Arabidopsis thaliana: one gene and its partners. The protein of the gene in region 1 interacts with the protein of each later gene in a pairwise test. Each region holds a gene or a part of one and is shown in the gene's direction. Other genes may lie near its edges.

Region 1 (6,282 bases):
GTACAAATAGAGGATCCAAACCGGTTATATCTATATTTCAGTTCTGATAAATAAGATGAAAGAATAACTTTTCAATCGGCATGGAGGAATCTTTTGATCGCTTTGGAAGCAATCTTGATAGTTGGCGTTTTTGTTGTGACGGCTTGTTTATGGAAATGGGCTTTGACATGCGGGGTAATTGTAGTTGCTTGACACATAGCCTACTTGATTATGATTTTTGAATTTGTCATTCGTGGTCAGAGTCGGTCCAAAGACTAATCATGTTTAAAGCTCAACAAAATTTGATGTCCATTTACAACAAATAAAAATAGAAAATTGTTTTAATATTTTCGATTACCAAGGATCGAACCAATCACTTTCTACCTTCAAAGCACAGAAAACCAATAGATTATAAGACGTTTCATAAAATTTGATGTCTTTTAAAATATATATAAAATTTGCTGTCTAAAGCATCTATTTGCTGTTTACAAAAAAAAAAAAAAAAGCATCTATTTGCTGGGTTTTATGTTCCGGCCGGCCTTCAAGACACCGCAAGCTTGTGGATAGCGATGGTTTTCATCATCATGCTGTGGTTTATATTCATCTCAAAGTAGGCTTTGACATGCGGGGTAATTGTAGTTGCTTGACACATAGCCTACTTGATTATGATTTTTGAATTTGTCATTCGTGGTCAGAGTCGGTCCAAAGACTAATCATGTTTAAAGCTCAACAAAATTTGATGTCCATTTACAACAAATAAAAATAGAAAACTGTTTTAATATTTTCGATTACCAAGGATCGAACCAATCACTTTCTACCTTCAAAGCACAGAAAACCAATAGATTATAAGACGTTCCATAAAATTTGATGTCCTTTAAAATACATATAAAATTTGCTGTCTAAAGCATCTATTTGCTGTTTACAAAAAAAAAAAAAAAAAAAAGCATCTATTCGCTGGGTTTTATGTTCCGGCCGGCCTTCAAGACACCGCAAGCTTGTGGATGGCGATGGTTTTCATCATCATGCTGTGGTTTATATTCATCTCAAAGTAGGCTGCAAAAGAGCGGGAGAACGGTCTATTCCACTCCAAACTTAGTTACTTTATCGTATCCATACATAGAACTTTGAAGTATGCTTTTAACTATATGAACTAACTTATAATTTGAATTTACTACATAAACAATCAAAATATGGCTGAAACCAACAAATCAATAGATGCCGTTAGTTAAACCGTTAATGTAGCTGACTAGGATGCCACATGGATAGACTTTACAAAAACGAATCTAAACAACTTAAAAGACGTCGTATCTGTGACATCTACTGTCTCTTGAACTATTGTGTTCAAGGGACAGTAGATGTCACAGGTTCGATATGTTTAGATTCGTTTAGATTCAGTTTACTTCTAAGAAAAATATAATATTTTTTTTTAAAAACATATATTTCATCAAGCAAACCTGAAATAGCCAAAAAGATTTTTTTTTAAAAAGCCAAAATAAAAAAGGAAGAAAAAGGGTTCCATAACAAGAAAAGAGAAGAAAATTAAAAGGCTAGTGACTAAAGATACATTTTCATAATAAAAGAATAAAAGAATTTAAAAAATGTATATGAGCAAATCATAAGCAAAATATAAGTATTAAACAATATCAAATAGGTTTAAATTAATTTTATTACACAGAATAAAATAATTAGTAATCATCAATAATACTAAAAACATATAGTAGTACAAATAAAAACATAGTAGTACAAACTCACGGAGGAAACGGGTGTCTAACGTAATTAATTTTTCGATTCAAACCAATGATTCATCGCCTAAGATTTTTGTGCCGGTCTAGCGACACAACCCACATATTTTTTTCAAAGTTGATTTATAAAGTTCTATGAGTTGTAAAACATTATTACCTTAGCAAAGAGAGACCTGCGGAAGAATCTGGATGTTGTACAAATATTCAAATTTCCTATATTACCACCTCGTTTACAATTTATTAATGGTTATGATATATATGTTTGTGACTCAGTTGCTTGTTAAGTATGAACCGTCAATAATTAAAAAGTCATTTTAGTAGAAAAACAAAAAAAATGTATAATTGTATAACAAGTTAGCAACCCACATATGTTGCAGAGTTGATTTATAAAAAAAGATTGGGGACAGAGTTACCATTAGAAGTTTGGATCGAAACAATTGTTTTTTTTTGTTTTTGATAAAATATTGATCGACACAATTGTTTGACATTCATTTAATGTTCTTAACACAAAACCAAAATCCATATGACTATATTTATATTAATTATGTTGTTAGTTTTGTTGAAATAAGTTATCCAAAAACAAATTTCAAGAATAATTTGAAAGATTTTGGGTCTTTCTACTTTCTAGGAATTGCAAGGTCAAGGCGGTTGGTCTTGTGTCATGATTTTCTTCGTTTTAACTATTCAAAGAAAACAAATATTGATAATAAAATAACCTTGTTGTGATTATCTAGAAAAAGGGCTGTAGAAGAAACAAGAAGCATCTCTGTTTTATGTTCCCAAATGAACCAGAAACTCTTAGAAACTTCTAACACCTCTTAGAAACCAACCTTTTAGCATAAACCCTAATCCCATCTTTATAAACCAAACACTTCTTGCCTTTTTCTTGCAAACTCACAAAAAAGAAGACAAGAAGACAAAAATTAAGAAATTTACCGATTTGAAAACAATGGCTCTAGCTCGTCTGGCTTTGAGAAACCTTCAACAAAAACTGTCTCCTAGTTTGATGGGTCAATCTTGTGAAAGAGGTTTGGTCGGAAATCGACATAATCCAATGAAGCTAAACAGATTCATGGCTACTTCGGCTGGTGAACAAGAGGATAAGATGAACACAGAAGTGAGTGTGTCTGAGAAGAAATCTCCTCGACAGAATTTCCCCCGGAGACGTGGCCGAAAAAGCCTCTGGCGTAACACCGACGATCATGGCTACTTCACTCCCACCCTAAATGGTACGTTTGTCATTTTAGTTCATTATTGATATACCTATTTAGCAGAAAATTTCAATAGTGTCACAATAATAATATTTTCGAAATAAATTATATAAAAAAAATTCAACATTTAAGTGTAAAATATATCCCATAAAAGAAAAATTAAGAAGAAAATTTGAAATTCTAGAATCATAAAAATACATCAAATTTTAAATTTACATTTTCATTGCATTAAATCTCATGAAACATAATTAATGTAAACCTCTATTTTTGCTTGAATTGAATTTTTTCTTCTTCTTAAAACAGAGTTCTTTCCTCCGACTATAGGAAATACTCTGATACAAGCAACAGAGAATATGAACAGAATTTTCGACAACTTCAACGTGAATCCATTCCAACTAATGGGTCAAGTGAAAGAGCAAGACGACTGTTACAAGCTCAGATACGAGGTTCCAGGGCTAACCAAAGAAGACGTGAAGATCACGGTAAATGATGGAATCTTGACGATTAAAGGAGATCACAAGGCGGAGGAAGAGAAAGGCTCACCTGAGGAAGACGAGTACTGGTCTTCAAAGAGTTATGGTTACTACAACACGAGCTTATCGTTGCCTGATGATGCTAAGGTTGAGGACATTAAGGCGGAGCTCAAGAATGGTGTGCTTAATCTTGTGATTCCTAGGACGGAGAAGCCAAAGAAGAATGTTCAGGAGATTTCTGTTGAGTAGAAGAGATACGGTGTCGTTTTTGTGTTCTTTGATGGACTAAGCAAATTAATGTTGTACCTTTTTTATGTTTATGCGAATGGAATCAGTTATTAAGTTGCTAATTAACTTAGTTCATTTGCGCAAACAAAAGAAGCTAGAAAATACATTATAGACTAATTGAACAAGCAAAGAATGAACCAGTTTTGTGTTTGTAATGAGAATGGAATAAATTGTTATTCAGCATAGTTAATTTTCGCAAAAGAAAGAAGCCAAAATTAATTAAAAGAAGCAGCAAATGTTGTGTCCCTTTTATGTTTTCTATGCGAATGGCTCAATGGAGTAAATTGCTAATTCACGTCATGAACACAAAAATGTTGATATATTAAACAAGAAGTCCATTTTTGTACCTCATATCAAAATTTTATTTGTAAATTTTGTATTAATAATTGTGGATTTGCTATACTATACTATGAAATATTTTTCTTTATAGACAAGTTATGTTATACATTAAATTATTTATTTATTAATAAGTACAGTATTTTAGTGTATTGTCAGAGTTCAGTTTCTTTAAAGAAAACACAATATTTTTTTTTTTTGTCGTCAAGAAAACACAATATTTATGTTAAACAAAAATGCATGATATTTCAATAGTTTGTGGAAAATTATAGAAAATATTTCATTTTCCTTCTTTTAGTTTGGTATTAAGAAGGAAAAAACCAAAAACATTTTTTTGATAATGTATACATAAATTAAAATTAAAATAATGAGAAAACAAAACAAGGTCCAAAATACCTTGTGAAGAAAATGGCGACGGCGTTTGCCAACACGACTTCAAGCTCCAACCTTTACCTCCATCGCTGCCGTAAAAACCATCCTCTTCCATCTCCGTCGTTCTTTTCACCGTTCCGGTCGTCTCCACTTCCTTCTCAGACCCTTTTCCTCGTCCCCACTCCAAAACCTGTACGACGCATCGCGGTCGCTCCTCTCGGCCCTCCAACGCCGCCTAGTCCCGACCCACCTCCGCCTAAAAACACGACTGAGCTCACAAGTTCGTCTTTCCCTTCTTACCCTTAAAACTTCAATGTTTCAACTCTGAGTTCTGATTTTGTTTACTGCCAATTCTATTTTTCAATCTTTCCTAATTCGATGAAATTGCATTACGGAATTCGAATTAGGAGAATGAAGGTGGTTTAACTGCTATTGATTCGTAGATAAAGATGTTAATCTTAGTCCTCAAGATCGATTACTGTTCATTGCTAAAGTTTTGATCTTTGTGACAATTTATAGACTTTTACTCTTGTTAAGCATTAAGGATTTATAAATCTCCTCCTTTTACAACTTGTGAATGTCTTCCAAAAGTTCCACCATTTTCTTTTCCCTACAGGTTTAGTCATTGGTTGCAATACGAGAGCAATCTTCTTAACAATTTGGATTCATAGTTGTTGTTTGGTATCACATTTTGTGTAGGTCTTGTGGGAGTAGCGTCGATGATTCAAGACCGTGTAAAGATCTTTCTTTCAGTACTAATTTGGATCTCTCTCTTCTTTTGGGCTTCGGCTTTACAAGGAAGAGGCAGCAAAGGTAATGGTAAAGGGAAGAAGGGTTCACGCTTCAAATAGTATTAGTTAGATTGGTGTGGTGATGATGATGATGATTGATGAAAACTCCTCTACACGTTTGTGTATATATACAGAGGAAATATTCTTCCAAGTAAAGCAAATTTCTTGTCAGACTACAGTTTTATACTAGAAACTAGATTGTTCTCTTCTTACGATATCTCTAGCTTAGAGCTATAGAGATTACTCTACTGTGATGAAACTAAAGTAGTTTGCATTTAAGTCAAAATGCCAAATCAATATCATTGTTTATTGAAAGCTGTTTCAGATTGTAAATGACTAGATGTGTTTGGTGTGTGCTTGATTCAGCCAAACGGTAAACCGCACCGTTTCTTTGATTTGAATGTTTGTTGTATAAAATGGGCCTTTAGATATGTTATATAACTTGTTTGGGCTTCAACATACTCTTTTATTGGGCCTCTCTATATAATATAATATTTCCAAAGTTGTATTTAATTATTATTTGATTTATATTTAAAACAGTGGTTGTTTATTCATGATATGAAAAAAGAAATAACTGGATTTAGGTAAACCTTATTCAATACTGGGACAATGAATTAACCAGCTCATGATTAGTTGGACCTGTTTTGGTTAAAGGCTGGTAGTAAGTTTAGAAACAGAAATTTATGATAAGAGCCTAACATTTTGTTCTGACCACACTGAGTAATTTAACAATCTATCTAAATTAAGATTTTATGCTATGTTTAATTTATATTTGTTCTGATTATAGCAAATAAATTTCCATATCTAGAGATCTTCTTCATACACAATAAAAAAAACTAGTATTTGAACTTTTGTATGTATTAAAAATTGCAAGATTTTGTAAGTACAGATTCACCAAGGTGAGGTGTGTGATTAGGAAACTTTGATTAGTTGTCATGTGTCATCAACAGGCCATGAAAAGGAAATCTTTGAAATTCAAAAAACAATACCTTTTGATGAAATTATTACTATATAAATACTATATGTGACTATGTGTGGATATGCACAATCATTCCCACTAATAGTTTAATAAAGTGTATAATTTTTTTCA
Region 2 (9,856 bases), 9.4 Mb from region 1:
AAGTAGCACGCACGTCTGTTCTTGCGACAAGGAAGAAGTCAGAGTCTCCAATAGCATCTCGAGCTGATGCTATTTTTGCGGCATGTTCTTCTGCTGGTATCACCTGTTTACCACGCATATGACCTACACAAAAACACACACATTGAGATTATGATCTGTCAAGTGTGTCCATTGAGTGACATTAGAACAGTGACTTAGAAAATGAAGATTTCACACATACCACACTTCTTTGGCCATGCTTGGTCCTAACAAGAATGAAGCAATCAAATGTTAAATGAACAATATCCAAAGACTCTTGATCAATTCTAAGACAGAGGAACTCGTCAAAGAAGCAGAGGTGACAAAAAAAGAAGGCAATTTACCTCAAGGAAGCAACCAGCAGCACCAGCTGCAATCAAATCCTTTACGGTTCTTTGAATGTTTAGCGCATTTCCTCCACCGGTATCTTGAAAAGATCAAAAGAAACCTATGAAGAGAACTATAACCAAGCAAATCCACTATTTTCAAAAAGCTATGAAGAGAACTATAAGCAAGCAAGCGACTCTAACCAAGAAAGATTGATACTTTCAATCTTTGGTAAAGAATCAACGACTCAATGTTTTTAAATGTTTTTTTTCCTTTTTTGGTTTTAGTTAAGCTTCTTGCATTCTTTAATGATGTCTTTATTATACTATCAAAATTTTGCAACTTTACCAGCATCTGCAATGATGGGTATATTAGGAGCTGACGCACACACCGACCTTGCCGTCGCAGCCATCTCCGGTGGTCTAAAACGACGAAAGAACACAAATAAAACGAAAGCATACAAACAAAAAATTACTAAAGAAAGAAAAAAAAAAAGGTGGCGCACGTTAGCAAACCGAAATCGGGTTTTCCCAGGAGAGAAGCGGATAAGGCGTAACCGGATATAAAACCAGCGGAGAATCCGGTTTGCTGCACAATAGCCGCGGATAAGGCATCGTAGCATCCAGGCATAAGCACAATGCCTTGTTCTTCAATCAGGCGATGAAAACGTGTTTGGATTCTCGCTGTCGGATTCACCAATCTCGCCGCGCGTGGGTTCCGTCGGAATGTTGGTGAAGCTGTAAGGTTTAAGCTGCTACAACAGAGTGAAGTTGTTTTGACAGCCATTAACATCGACATTCTTCGAAGCCTCGAACAAGTTTTTTCTTCTCTCTAATCGAGTTAGACTCTGACCCACACGCTTGGGATTTTAATAGAGAGCACGTGGTTATTATATCTCGGTCTTATCTTATGGTAACAGTATCTCAAAGACTCAAACCACAAGGTATTGTGAAAATGTTAGAGGCAATCTAACAATAAATGTATAATTTGGTTAGCTTAAGCTCATCATAGAAATGGGCCTTTATGTCACCAAACCTATTTCACAACATAACACAAGAGCCCACAAAACAACGACTCCTTTCTCCACCAGAACAAGCACGACAAAGGCAAGAGAGTTGCAAAAGACCTATAAGATGATAACAATCGAAAAGATGTAAATTTTGAGAAAAATCAAAATAAACAAGAAAGATTTCATTGTTTTTCACTTTTTCTCCATTTCTACTTTGATTTTACATACTCTATGGGCCAACCAATTTCCAACCTAATGCTTGATAAAAAATGATTCGGTTTTACTATCTCAACAAATTGGGCCTACAACATCCAATTTCATGTAGTGACTTGTTTTTGCCTTTTTCACATCTCAACAAATTGGGTCGTTTGTATTTAAGAAATTGTTACAGCTTTTTAGACTGAATTTTACTTTATGGCTTTATGCTCTCTTTTTCCGTTTTGATTAAGGGTGAATATGTAAACTGTTGATACCATCTGATTTTTTTTATTTTTTATTTTTCTTGTGTGCAACTATACCATCTGAATTCAATTGACATTTTAGCCAAATAAAAAAGATTGGTCCACTTGGATGGCTGTAAAAAAGTTTAGTGGAAGTATTTATAGGGCTTGTTGGCAATCTTCACCAACGGCTATAATGTTGATCTTTTTAAAATTAAACTTACCGTTCGACTGTCTTCTCAACGATTTGACAATTAGCCGTTAGATTAGTATTACTGATTTATTATTAACAAACCCATTTCTTTTCTTATTTTTGAATAAGCTAAATCAGGCCAATAAAAGGGACAAGTAGAGATGGGCTATTTCTTTTTTTCTCTTTTTTTTTTTCTTATGTAGTAGAGAAAAGCCTTTATTCTTAGAGCTATCATTTACCACCCATTAACCAGAAGCTGAGAAATGAAGCAAGCCGAAACGAATTTGTAGTTTTGGACGGTGAAATTATATCGGGCCTTTAATGGGCATGTGAATAGAGTTGAGAGTCTTTTTGCCCCAAATAATCGTTTAAGGGAGTATTGGCTCGTTGGTTTAATATTGGGCCGAAACGAGATTGGGAAGAAGAACAATGTCGGTTTAATCCGGTTAGGGTCGTGGGCTGATTCTGGTTCACCTTTATAGCGTAAGCGAACAAACATTGAAAATGGGGAAGCCAAATTAGTTACCATCCCTAACTCAGTTTTGAGACGTAGTATGAATGAGCCACGGCAGAACCTACGACCTAACTCGATAAAGTAATGGTTACTCTTGGAGACGGAAGAAAGCACAAAGATTTTGATAAGGCTTTCTAGTTGGTGAAATGGTCAAAATCGCTCGGAGAGCCATCATAGGAGCGGGGAGGTGCTATCTGAATATCCCAATGCATCAAGACAAGATGGATTCAGAAAACAAAGAAATTAAACAAACATTTTAAAATATGCTCTTAGTTTTAGATAATATAATGTTTTCAATACCAATTATCTTACACTGATAGTGGTCAAGTTACTAATCACTTTTAATAAATTGGTGATAGTCAAACGTATTGAAAATTATCGATTTAAAAATATTTGAATTCAAAACCATTTTAGTGAAAGTTTGCATTGTAGTTTTGATTATCCGATCAATCTTTAATATAATTACGTCAATAATAACTGAAATCCTTGAATTAACCGTTACCCGATTCATAAGCACTACTTTCCGATCAAAACCAATGAGATAAAATAACTTTTAAACCCTCCAAATAAAAAGAGAAAACCTTAAAAACCAATTTCTGTTCGGTGGGGATGATGATCGGACTCGGACCGGTCTAACCGACTGGATTAAAAAGTCTTTAACAACGACAAGCTTAAAAATTTGCCTCTTAGTGGCTTCAAAACGCAATCGTTTCGCTTAATACTATTATTTTCTCTATCTCGTTTAACCAAAAAAAAAAACGAGTTGGAGGAAAAAAAAAACCAAGAAAAAAGAATAAAAAGCAAAAAGCATTGAGCGTCTCCGGAGATTAGGATTAAATTAGGGCATAACCCTTATCGGAGATTTGAAGCCATGGGAAGAAGAAAAATCGAGATCAAGCGAATCGAGAACAAAAGCAGTCGACAAGTCACTTTCTCCAAACGACGCAATGGTCTCATCGACAAAGCTCGACAACTTTCGATTCTCTGTGAATCCTCCGTCGCTGTTGTCGTCGTATCTGCCTCCGGAAAACTCTATGACTCTTCCTCCGGTGACGAGTAAGAAGATACTTTCCTTTTCTGGGTCTCACTCGATTTTTGTGCTTTTTTACTTTGTTTAATTACTTTCTCCATATAGAAGCTTCAAATCTAGGGCTTTTTGATTCCATCAAATCAACTGAGATTTTCTCCTTGTTTTCTGTATGAAGATAGCAGATGCGTAAGCTTTAACCTAATTTAAGACTAAACATTTTGATCGCCAAGATATGTTCTTGATGTTCGTTTCGTGTTTTTTTTTTCGTGTTTTTTTTTTTTTCATTTTAAAATCATTTTTATCTCTTTTTTTACCTTCATTTGTGACGAAATTTAATATTGCATGTTATTCAAGAAACTTTTCTACACGTGGTGATTCGTTCTTGATGTTGTTTAAGTAATCTTTGTATTGCTAGTTCCATCTGTTGTTCACTTTGAAGCTTCGTTTTTTCATATAAGAAACAATATGTTTAGATTGTTCAAATTTTGAGATTTGGTAATTATATTCAATATTGCAATGCACTTCAAGTAGTTTTGTTGAGAGATTATTTGGGGTTAGTGGTAACATTAATCGAATATCTTTGGTTCAAATTGGTTAACACATTGTACTTTATGTTGATCCAAAATGTATTGTAGATCTTTTCTTTTGTAATTCTCTTTAAGGAATAAGGTTTATCTAGTTGATTTTGATGGTTTATTGTAGTGCTGGGATAAGTTTCCACATTGATACTCGCCACACATTCTTCATTACTTAACTAATTGGATATCGATTTTAACCCTTTTAATCGTAATTTGTTGTGTGTTTATGACACCATACAAGATACATTATGTCTTACTGAGTGACTCTTTGTTGCTCTCTAAGATGTTGTAGTTTGGATTTCTTTGCTAAAGAAACTCAAACTATAACTGATTTTACTGCTACCATATATATGTCAGTGGCCTAGTAGGTTCATTAAGTAGAAATCGGTCGCCAATTTTACTAATTGGGAGAAACCACTAGACTACAACCAAATGTTCAATGACTTTAATAGTCTTCTGTTATTTGTCGTGGATATTTTTAACCCCATGAACTTTTGTATCTAGAAAAATCTCATCCACTTCTCTTTTAGAATACTTTGAATGCGACTAAAAGTGAGTTTTTTTTTTCTAATAGACCTAAGATAAAATCATCAATGGATAAGTAGGAAATGGAAAGGTAACTCTTGTCAGTATGTGTATATATACAGCTCCTTCTCATTTCCTTGATGTTGACTCCATAAATGCTTGATCATGAAAGCAAATTTGTTAAATTTGTAACCAACAAAATGCACAGACTATAGACGAAGTATTAGGAACCGTATCTATCTGTCTCCATTTTACAATAGTCAAGCTCTAGTTGTAGCTAGTTTCTTTATTTAGTTCTTATACCTTAACAAAGTGGCACTATGCAAAGTGTTTTTAGTTGAGATTAGTCGTCTTATGCGTCTTACTAATTGTTCATTTTTTCTTCTTTTTGTGATTGATGTAAAATTACTAAGTCACAACTTGAGATGTTACTAAAAAGATAAGAACGTGTAATAACTGAAGTGAATTTGAAGCCAGTCTCTATTCATATCATAGCATTAATAGATCATGGACAACACATATATAGGATTAGAGCTGTCATGACCTTCCCGGAAATGCTAAATCAGTTTCTTGGTTTATCCTTTTTGGAGTATCATGATATCATTTAGCCAAAGGTTTTTGGTTTCAGTATTCCGATTCGTTTGACGTTATGTGTGAAAGCGTCAATAACTAAAACTTGGATTGACTAGTCAAAATATAAACTGATTGCATTGAATTCTTGAAAATTTTCCCTTAAAATGAACATGAATTTCATCAAGATTTTGTCTTTTGGAAGGATGTGATTTATAATCTATACAATCATACATTTTGCATGATATTAGTTTTTTGAAGAACCAAAAATAGAGCTTCTTTATAAAACTGATTTAGCCTTGATAAGAAAAAGAAGGTAGATAATCGAACTCATGGGGATGAGTTAAAAATGTGTGCACTTAGTTTCTAAAACCTTTTGAAGTCGAAACAATGACAATATTGGCTGCGAAGTTGATATATAACAGGATCTTAAAGTTGAAATTGTAAATTCAGATTTTAATTTTAGAGCACCAGATGATCAGAGTTTCAGATTTACATTTGAAGTATAAAACATTTTGAACACATATATCTAAAGCAGTAACTTCAAAAATAGGGTAACTAATAGTAACTTACATTGTTTTTTTTAATGCTTTTATACTTACTATCATTTTTATATATAGATGCCTGGTTAAGTAAAGATGATTATCAAAAACTGTTGGTTAGTAACAGAAATTGTTGCAAATGTAACATATTATATAAGCTTTCTTTCACTTTGGTGCATTCTCTCTAAATAATGGCCTCTATTGATGCAGTATCTGATTCTTAGTTTTGAAATGGTTTTTGCATAAATTATTGTTCTAATGCATTTTTGTTTTATCTCCAGCATTTCCAAGATCATTGATCGTTATGAAATACAACATGCTGATGAACTTAGAGCCTTAGTAAGTAATTAGCTAAGAACGTCATTCTAATATTCTTCTGGATGCGGTTTTTGGTGTTATGAAGGATAGAAGCGCTGTTCAAGCCGGAGAAACCTCAATGTTTTGAACTCGTAACACCGAACTTAATTCTCTAGAGTTACAGTTATTGTGTCTACTGGAAAATACAAGAACTTCACAATCTTTCTGACCATTCCTTTTCTTCATGTGCAGGATCTTGAAGAAAAAATTCAGAATTATCTTCCACACAAGGAGTTACTAGAAACAGTCCAAAGGTTAGCAGTACGACACATTTTTCTCCCCTCTTCTTCTGATAAAAAAAATGTTTTTTTTCTTTTGTCTACTTGTGAATACAGCAAGCTTGAAGAACCAAATGTCGATAATGTAAGTGTAGATTCTCTAATTTCTCTGGAGGAACAACTTGAGACTGCTCTGTCCGTAAGTAGAGCTAGGAAGGTATATGTGCTGCTACTAAGTGATTCAACCAATTACTCCACAAAACCTTCTTTTTAGTTAGTTATCCTAGAACAATCTTTTGACATAAATCTTAATGTCTTGTTATAGGCAGAACTGATGATGGAGTATATCGAGTCCCTTAAAGAAAAGGTTAGTGCTTTGGTTTTTATTTTCGATAAAGGCCATATTCTAGGCTATGATGATTCTTGAATTCTATTAACCTGCTGAGTCTACAGATTACTATATATATATATATATATCTTTTGGTCTTGTCTTAGTTCCTGATTTAGTATTGGCTTCATTCAGGTGAAACCCTAATGAGAATTAAAAAAACAAGCAGTTTTAAACTCTTGATCAAATCCAACCTTTCCCTCATAAAGTGTCGAATTTGGATGAGGATGATTTATGTTTCGAGAAGGAAACATGTTTGGAAATAGCTATAGAAGTTGTTAGAAACTAATGACCTTATGATCTTTTCCAAACAGGAGAAATTGCTGAGAGAAGAGAACCAGGTTCTGGCTAGCCAGGTAACAATGACCACAATATCTTCTGCTCTTGAAGCTAATTAATCACTTTATACGTCCCCGTTATAGAGAGATACACATATACACGTACATGAAAACTAAAAGTTGAAGGACTTTGATGGATACTAGACAATTATAGTGAAACCCTAAATATGTGATAAGTGATAACAAAATGCTTTTAAAATCTATCTTTCTTGTTAATTTAGTAGCTGTCAGAGAAGAAAGGTATGTCTCACCGATGAAAGATACTCAAAACCCGGTATTTTTAATTTGTGAAATTTGCAAATAAAAAAAATGCTTTCTACAAGATAGATTAATTTCTTGCAATGTTTAGTAGCTGTAGAAAAAAAAGAAATGTAAGAAAGTTTCTTACAGATGGGAAAGAATACGTTGCTGGCAACAGATGATGAGAGAGGAATGTTTCCGGGAAGTAGCTCCGGCAACAAAATACCGGAGACTCTCCCGCTGCTCAATTAGCCACCATCATCAACGGCTGAGTTTTCACCTTAAACTCAAAGCCTGATTCATAATTAAGAGAATAAATTTGTATATTATAAAAAGCTGTGTAATCTCAAACCTTTTATCTTCCTCTAGTGTGGAATTTAAGGTCAAAAAGAAAACGAGAAAGTATGGATCAGTGTTGTACCTCCTTCGGAGACAAGATCAGAGTTTGTGTGTTTGTGTCTGAATGTACGGATTGGATTTTTAAAGTTGTGCTTTCTTTCTTCAGCGTGAAGAACCCTAGACCTTCTTATTTCTTTTTTTTTTTACTTTTTTTTTTTATAACTTTAATTATTTGATTATTTGTCTTACATTACGTGGCAAAGTTATTTAGTTGCATCTCTTTTAATTTGATCAAAACCATATCAGATATTTTGCTCTTTTTTCCAAGTTTAGTGATTCTGTTTTTGAGAGCTCCAAACTATATAAGATATTTTTCACCTTTTCCAAGTTTTATTATTTGTGTTTTTGAAGAACTCAAAAAAGCCAGCTTTTGAACTCTGTTTCATGTTTTGGTTCTTTCTGATGAATCCAGATCCATACAACCGTATGCCAAACTCACTGCTCGTATGTTGTTTAGTATAATATTACAGGATTCTCAACTTTTTACAAATACACATTTATGTACCGCTCTTTGTGTTCTTAGTCTTGAGAAACACTTGAGTAACTTGTTGAAGATCTGATATATCCAAAAAAGTTCTAAAGTCTAAACAATGCGGAATGAACTAGCTATCCTCTTCAGATCCTTGTAGTGTCTCTTCCATTGAAGACCTATAGAATCAAACATAAGCAGAGCAATTAACTATGTGTACAAACCAAACAAAAGGTGTTTGCTCTGTCTTTAAATCTCTGACTAGAAGAGAGGTTTTGCCTTACCGTTTCCGGTGACACTGAACAAGTAAAGGCGGTTTCCGGCAGCTGTTGCAGTTATCAGTACATGAGGCGGCTCTAGCTCGAATTGGTAATAGAGTCTACCATCGTGTTCTGCAACATTGGAACTTAACACCTTCCCTTCTACGTTTTCTCCAATAACTTCTGGTCCAAACGCGTTAATCACCTTCGCTGGTTGTCCAATATTTTCAATCTTAACATCGTCCCCGAGGTCTGTATAAGTGGAACACACAAATCAATCAATCTACGAGTACAAATAGACAAGATTGCATTGCCTATATAACTCAAAAGAGTAAAGTTGATGAATCTTTAATAGCAGAGACAACTTACTATCTGCAAATCTAAGAACAGGAGCTACAATAACAGACAAACGGCCTTCTTTAGGACTAGCAAATCTCAAGTCAATCTCGGTGCCACCAAGATCAGCGATCGATACAGGTACCTAAATTTGATACAACAATGAAAAGAATCTCAAAGTATGACTAAAAACCATAGAAACGAAGAAACAAGAGCCAAGGGACAAAACCTCATTCCAATCTTGAGGAACCGAAAAGGCGTAAGGGATAATAGGACTCCAACCAACACCATGCCCTCCTGACTTCTCGTCTGGTCTACGGTATGTTCTCCAACCTGTCTGAGCATTACAATTACATTACACCAACAAATTCCCAACTACTATACTGTCATAATACAACTCCAAGAATCAATGTCCAAAGCCTAAAGATTTATGAATCTATGATCCAATAGTAACATTCTCAAGAAGAAGAAAGAGTGTACGAATAAAGCTACAGAGTAAGAGCAAGACAAGAAGAAGAGGAATCAAGAACAGAGTGAAACGAACCTTCTTCATCAGGTTCGGACAGACCAGGAACTCTCCCAGCGAGAAGACCTTGTTTAACGACAGCCAATCCTTCCCTTGGAAATGCTAAAGCCGTCGTCGAGGAGACCAACCCTGACGCCATTACCGATCTTCTACTCAAAACCCTAGCACACCACTCGTCTTCGCATCCTCCCGGACTCGTTTTCGGAATCTCACTATTACTTCTTTGATGAGCAGAGATTTTCTTGTGACCGGAAAAGTTGACGCAGTACCGGAGCAGAGCTGTTTCCATCATTCTCCGGCGAAGTTCGAGAATTGTGATGTGTTTGTTTGTTGATCAACAGATTCGTGGCTCTCACCTCTTTTGTGATGGATACTAACCATTTTGCTAGCCTCACACGTGTCAATGTCACTTACTGTAAATAAATCACATAATAAGTTCGATAGAGTTGATTGACAAAAAAAAAAAAAAAAAAAAAAAGTTCGATAGAGTTTTCAGTTTTGATTATATTATTGGTTAATGCTGATTAATTCAAAAGTAGAGTTTTGGTTAATATAAATCTAAAATAATCTTAAAAAATG
Region 3 (6,746 bases), on another chromosome or scaffold:
ACGAGCCGAGGAGTTTGAAGAGCTGAAGAGCTTGACGAAGAGGAGCGAGCTGATGAACTACTTGAGAAGGGCCCAATCCGACCCCTAACAAAGACTTATGTTTAGATATGTTTTCATGCGATCCAAACTATACTATATATTTTTTTGGACGGATTTTTTAATAAGTTTTATGGAGTTCACAGACGAGTTTGAACGAAGCGTTTTCTTTATATATGTGCTATGCGAAATAAAAACTTGAAGACAAATTTAAATAATAATGTGATGTAGTAGGGCAATTGCATAATCGATAAATCCGGATAAGTGTGCCCCGATACAACAAAAGCAACAACGTTTACGAAAATTTAACAAGTCCAAAAGTAACAGACATGATAATAATATCCTCATTACAAAACTCAACACACGATCAAAATAAGTGAAACATAACATAAACCATAAACCCTCAAGTTTCAATACGTATCAGGAGATTTAATGGGGGGGGGGGTTAAAATCATATACTCCTCCTTGCCGAACTATTAGGGGTCGGATTGGGCCTACTTGGCCCAATGCCCAAACCCAAGTCAAAAGCCCAAAATAAGTTCCAAACCAAGGAGGAGTATTAAGGCGAAGGGTAGTTTCGTCAAATCCCTCGATGAATGCCCTACACGCGTAGTGCTATAAATACGGAATAGCATGTCATGTCGAAGGGGGGAATTCCGCCTGACACGCAGACACAGAGTAGCTCGCCTTTCTCAAGTAGCTCGTCAGCGAGCCCTTCTCAAGAAGCTCGTTAGCTCGCTCCTCTTCGACAAGCTTATCAACTCGTTCTCTTCACCAAGTCCCTCAGCTCGTCTTCAAGCTCTCCAACTCGTCTTTAAGCTCTTCAAACTCTTCAGATCGCCATTAAGCTCAACAAGCTGCTAAGCTCGTCTTCAAGCTCCTCAACTCGTCTTCAAGCTTCTCAGCTCGTCTTCATGCTCCACTCAACGACCATCTCCTCGTCTAGCTGTCATCTATACAGCTCGTCCAACTCCTCGTCTAGCTATCAGCTCATCCCTCGAAAACAAAACTCATCTACCTCCTCGCCTAGCGGCAGTTCGTCCATTGACTGCATAGTCCACCTATCTCGTCGTCCAGCTCGTCTAGACCTTCAGCAAACAACTCGGTTTATCCAACTCGTCTCTCTACCACGGTTCATCCAGCTTGTCGCACATCTGCCGGCTCGTCAACTACCTGCCGACCTACCTCCAATGACGGCCTAGCTCACTTATTCTAATATGAACTACGTGTGGCTTGACCCCTTTCTAATATGGACTACGTGTCGTCTCGCTTGACTATCACCGAGACAGCACATTGTCAGCTCGCCCGTCTCACGAAGATCGTCCGTCTCAAATAGCTCGTCAGCTCGTCCTTCTCAAGTAGCTCGTCAGCGAGCCCTTCTCAAGAAGCTCGTTAGCTCGCTCCTCTTCGTCAAGCTTATCAACTCGTTCTCTTCACCAAGTCCCCCAGCTCGTCTTCAAGCTCTCCAACTCGTCTTCAAGCTCTTCAGCTCGCCTTAAGCTCTTCAGCTCGCCTTTAAGCTCTTCAAACTCTTTAGCTCGCCCTTCTTACAAAAACAAAAAAGGATATCAATTATGTAGATCAAAACAAAAACAAAAAAGGACTTACAAGGACGTAGATATCAATTATGTAGATCAAAGAATAAGCAGTCCAAATTCCAGCGTTGATGAAACGAACTAACGATAGCCAAAACGGCATGTACTTGAAGGTCTTAGTCTCCGGCGGCATTTTGTCCTAATTGTTTCACGCATTAAAAACTTATCAAAACCAGTTTAATAGTTTACTTATCTATATATTCATCAATAAGTGAGAGCCAGAGAGAGAGAGAGAGCTTACTATGGTAAATAAAAGATAGATGATAACAATGTTGTAAACGTTGCAAACAACACCAATGAATGTATGCTTGCCGGCCGGATAAACTCCCAAATCCCCAGATAGTCATACAATAGACTGTTGCCACAAAACTAAACTCCAACGGAAGCAATAGATAAAAGAGTAATATCTGCACATCAACATCGACATCATCAAAATCAATATACAATATTTTTCTGGATTTGTTTTTTTTTTCTTTGGGATATTTCTATAGAATTTAGTCAAGATTGTGTTTGTTTGTTACCACCTTTTGTGCACCAGTCACCAATCCTTATTTTTATTATTAAATCTATTTTTGATACTATAATTCGTGATTTTCCTTTTAGTTTTATATATATATATACTTACAGAGATGCGAGCTTCATATTATTATTTTTATCTTTTTGAACACCAAAAAAATAGCCTCGTATTATTTTTAAATGATCAATTATGTGATCATATTTAAAAATACGATCCGGTTTTTAAGGGATTTGAACGGATCAAATGTGTTTCCGGTTCGGTTATATAAACCGGTATTTTACCATATCCAACCGAAATGAGTATCGACGGGAATTATCCGTAAACAGAGTGACAGTGAGGTGTGAAGGAAGAAGACGATGGCGTCAATGTCTCTCTCCTTTTCTTCTTCGCTATGTTCATCCAGAATCCCCGAAGGTAAGCGTAGGTTTCGTCACAGAGATGTGGGCATCGTTAGATGCGTTTTGGCTGCTTCGAAATCTTCTCCGGGAAGTGTTACGAAGAAGAGGCTTTGGAAAGACGGCGAATTCCCCGGAATCACGGAGCCGGTTAATCAGAGAAGAACTCCGATAAAGAATGTGAAGAAGAAACTTGACAGGAGAAGCAAAGCTAACGGATGGGTTAACACCGTCACTGAAACTTTGTCCGATCTCATCGCCAAAAAGCAGTGGTTACAAGCTCTCGAGGTATTTCGATTTTCTCTCTTCTCGTTCATGTTTGATTGAATTTGAACTCAATTTTGAATCACGAGTATAATTTAGCTGAAAGATGATTTTGATTGAATTGGGTATTTTGTTGATGATCTTAGGTTTTTGATATGTTGAGGGAACAAACATTTTATCAACCAAAGGAAGGAACTTACATGAAGCTGCTTGTTCTTCTCGGTAAATCTGGTCAACCCAATCGTGCACAGAAGCTGTTCGACGAAATGCTTGAAGAAGGACTTGAACCAACTGTTGAACTCTACACTGCTCTTCTCGCTGCTTACACTCGCAGCAATCTCATCGACGATGCTTTTTCAATTCTTGATAAAATGAAAAGCTTTCCTCAATGCCAACCTGATGTTTTCACGTACAGCACTCTGCTCAAGGCTTGTGTGGATGCTTCTCAGTTTGACTTGGTGGATTCGTTATACAAGGAAATGGACGAGCGTTTGATAACTCCAAACACTGTGACCCAGAACATAGTTTTAAGTGGGTACGGTAGGGTCGGAAGGTTTGATCAGATGGAGAAAGTTTTGTCTGATATGTTGGTGAGTACTGCTTGCAAACCCGATGTGTGGACTATGAATATCATCCTTAGTGTGTTTGGAAACATGGGTAAGATAGACATGATGGAGAGCTGGTACGAAAAGTTCAGGAACTTTGGGATTGAGCCAGAGACTCGGACTTTCAATATTTTGATTGGTTCTTATGGGAAGAAGAGAATGTATGATAAGATGTCGTCTGTCATGGAATACATGCGAAAGCTAGAGTTTCCGTGGACAACATCAACCTACAACAATATCATCGAGGCGTTTGCGGATGTTGGTGATGCAAAGAACATGGAGTTGACATTTGATCAGATGCGTAGCGAAGGTATGAAAGCAGACACAAAGACCTTTTGCTGTCTCATAAACGGATATGCCAATGCCGGTCTTTTCCACAAGGTGATAAGTAGTGTTCAGTTGGCTGCTAAGTTTGAGATACCCGAGAATACTGCCTTTTACAACGCGGTGATATCAGCGTGTGCTAAAGCAGATGATCTGATAGAGATGGAAAGAGTGTACATAAGAATGAAGGAGAGACAATGCGTATGCGATTCAAGAACGTTTGAGATCATGGTCGAGGCGTATGAAAAAGAAGGTATGAATGATAAGATCTATTACTTGGAACAAGAGAGGCAAAAGCTTATGGATCGCACTGTTGCTACAAAAGAGATGGAGAATCTTCCGGCAGGATGATTGCGGTTTGTGTGTGAATCTCTCTCTCTCTCTCTCTGCAAGGAGAGATCGATGTCTCACTTGAAAGAGTAGAATAAAAGAGTTTGTAATACACTTGATTGTTCTTGCAGCTATGCGTGTTATATATTTTGATGGGCCCAAAATTATGAATAGAGGCCCATAGATAAACTGTGACGTGCACAAGAAATCGGACAAGTCCAAAAAGTGGATAAGTGCGTGTCGTCTTTCTATAAATAATCTCTTTTCTCTCATCTTTTACCGTTTCTTCTCGAACAATCAAAAACGAACTAACCAAACATAAAATTGAACACATCCTCTTCCTCTGCTCTCTGCAAACAAAAAAACACCGATTCGGTCAGGAATCATTCGTCGTGAAATCTGTAATGGGGATTGTTGTCAAGTCTTTCAAGGATCAATTCTCCTCTGGTTTGTTCTTCGTTAATCTCTTTCTGATTCTTTGGAATTTTTTTTCCTTCGAAATGTGCTTCTGAAGCAAAGTTTTCATCTTTGTTTGAGGATATAGATGAGAGATTGAAGGAGTCGAACAACATCATTGCGAAATATCCAGATAGAATACCTGTAAGTTATTTCATAAATTTCATGTTTGATTTGTTTCTTGGTGTTTCCGTCTTAGTTGCCGTGCGATTGTGGATTTCCTTAGGGTTCGAATGATTTACTCAATTAAAAAAAAGTCTTCGTTTGACTTGCATCTCTCGAATTTGCTAGAATCTCTGTTTCAATCTTAGAATTTCTTCGCCATGGTTTGATGGATACGATCTGGGATCTGAAATTTGACTGATTTTGTGCGGTTTGGTGTTGATCCAATCACTCTGGTCAATGTCGGAGACGACTTCTTTAGTTGAGATTTGATCTATCACCAACAACAACCCAAACCAATTTGATTTAGGGATTTGGATCTGTTCTTGGTTTGGTTTCTTCATCAGATTCCAGCATTTATGGATGGGTTTTATTTACTTATGTAGGTGATCATTGAGAAATATTCAAACGCAGATCTGCCAGACATGGAGAAGAACAAGTGAGTTGTGACATCAATTTAGCTGTTGGACCAAACCAAGTGTAACCTGTCTAACTGTGAATAATCTTGTTTTTAACTCTGTATCCCGCATTTGTTTATTGTAGATACTTGGTCCCACGAGACATGACTGTTGGACATTTCATCCATATGCTAAGCAAAAGGATGCAGTTAGATCCATCCAAAGCTCTCTTTGTTTTCGTACACAACACTCTTCCTCAAACCGGTAAGATAAGAAGTATCATCATCCATGTAGAGTGAGACTTTACCTGCAGTTTTCCAAAGCTTTCCATTAACACTTGTCTTGAATTATGCAGCTAGTCGCATGGACTCTCTCTACAATACTTTCAAGGAAGAAGACGGGTTCTTGTACATGTGCTACAGCACCGAGAAAACTTTCGGCTAACAAAAGATTTGTCGCTTCATATCGAAATCGAAGCGCACTCTGAATAATCCATTTGTTTGATTCCTATGTTTGTGAATAACGTCAGCTCTTGTTGTTACTGTTATTGTTGTTGTTAGCTGACATTGTACAGAAAAGCTAAAAAAAAGAAAGACATTTGACTTTGTAAATTATGTATAATCCAACTATGGCAATAATAATAAGACCAAGTGATGATGATTCACACGAAACTCTTTTTGCGTTTTGTTCTTCCCTATAAAAAAAGAAAAGAATATAGATACTTTCGTGGAAGCACGTAAGTTTGGGGAGATGTGGTAAAATGAGACCTAAAGAAATTGCAATGTCGGTGCGGCGGTAAACGTGTACCCTACGACTTGGATTGTGTGTTTTATGCGATAAGGTTTTTAAGAAAACCGCAATTTTTAGAATATTGTTTATGTATATCCATCCATCATATGGTTAATCTTCTCTACAAGTTTATTTTGCCTCTTTTGTTTATACACATTTTATGTTCCGATTACATATTTTATTCCTTCTTAATCATCACTTCTAACATGAGGATTTAAAACTTTTCTGTTTCCAACGAGTTTATAACTACTTAATTAATGCCTCTATTTTAGTTCAATAGTGATTAATGACGCGTTGGCACCATCTCAAACTAAACTCAATATTTCGGAGCAAATAAAACAAAATTTCACAAGGAGACCAATAATTGATCGAGTATATTCTTGGGGGGATGTTACGATGCCATCCATGTCCAAAACTATTTGGATCAAAGCTTCTTTTTGGAATTTTTGTGCTCTTTCATTTCATTTGTATATAGATTCGGTTATTCCTTGACAAAAAAAAAGATGGTTATTCCTAATTAACTGCCACATTCTTATTTATAAATATCAATGTCGGTTACAAACACGATATAATGTAATAAAATAGTTGATCCAGGACGTAATAATTGTGCTCCCAGTGTGTTAGTTAGACTTGTTATTTTTATTTGCTATAAAAAGGATTAGATTAAGAAAGGATAACCGACAATTTAATTTTAAACAGAATTTTAGACAAACAATGTATAGTCGTAATCTGCGGTGGTTTTATTGTTTAAGATGATTTGTTATGTGGATCGAAACCAAGATTATAGTATTTCTATCACGACTTTAACCAATGTGAACAACTCAAGAAAACAAAAAACAAAAACAAAAAAGAGTTTTTCTATATATGATTGATAA

Evidence for each region.
Region 2: the proteins of AT1G52560 (region 1) and MAF1 interact in a two-hybrid assay, tested with the Arabidopsis thaliana proteins (one large-scale study listed by BioGRID).
Region 3: the proteins of AT1G52560 (region 1) and PPR2 interact in a two-hybrid assay, tested with the Arabidopsis thaliana proteins (one large-scale study listed by BioGRID).

What each region holds. Positions count from the first base shown.
Region 1 is NC_003070.9:19,572,155-19,578,436, reverse strand, and holds AT1G52560 (HSP20-like chaperones superfamily protein), read left to right. Parts: upstream 1-2,570; 5' UTR 2,571-2,670; coding exon 2,671-2,950; intron 2,951-3,235; coding exon 3,236-3,654; 3' UTR 3,655-3,899; downstream 3,900-6,282. Other genes in the region: AT1G52550 (uncharacterized protein), read left to right, coding at 4,438-4,681, 5,101-5,252.
Region 2 is NC_003070.9:28,952,307-28,962,162, forward strand, and holds MAF1 (K-box region and MADS-box transcription factor family protein), read left to right. Parts: upstream 1-3,215; 5' UTR 3,216-3,372; coding exon 3,373-3,557; exon of another isoform or gene 3,558-6,004; coding exon of another isoform or gene 6,005-6,027; coding exon 6,028-6,085; intron 6,086-6,149; coding exon of another isoform or gene 6,150-6,195; intron 6,196-6,295; coding exon 6,296-6,538; intron 6,539-6,646; coding exon 6,647-6,688; coding exon of another isoform or gene 6,689-6,748; exon of another isoform or gene 6,749-6,844; coding exon of another isoform or gene 6,845-6,856; exon of another isoform or gene 6,857-7,023; coding exon 7,024-7,065; coding exon of another isoform or gene 7,066-7,107; exon of another isoform or gene 7,108-7,271; coding exon of another isoform or gene 7,272-7,304; exon of another isoform or gene 7,305-7,437; coding exon 7,438-7,539; 3' UTR 7,540-7,805; downstream 7,806-9,856. Other genes in the region: AT1G77060 (Phosphoenolpyruvate carboxylase family protein), read right to left, coding at 1-123, 221-245, 363-445, 694-767, 851-1,143; AT1G77090 (thylakoid lumenal protein (Mog1/PsbP/DUF1795-like photosystem II reaction center PsbP family protein)), read right to left, coding at 8,270-8,334, 8,440-8,667, 8,785-8,896, 8,981-9,084, 9,296-9,569. UniProt on the Arabidopsis thaliana protein: Probable transcription factor involved in the negative regulation of flowering time in both long and short days, probably through the photoperiodic and vernalization pathways. Prevents premature flowering.
Region 3 is NC_003074.8:1,953,999-1,960,744, reverse strand, and holds PPR2 (Tetratricopeptide repeat (TPR)-like superfamily protein), read left to right. Parts: upstream 1-2,440; 5' UTR 2,441-2,504; coding exon 2,505-2,831; intron 2,832-2,953; coding exon 2,954-4,087; 3' UTR 4,088-4,336; downstream 4,337-6,746. Other genes in the region: ATG8H (Ubiquitin-like superfamily protein), read left to right, coding at 4,471-4,513, 4,611-4,666, 5,071-5,123, 5,228-5,346, 5,438-5,526.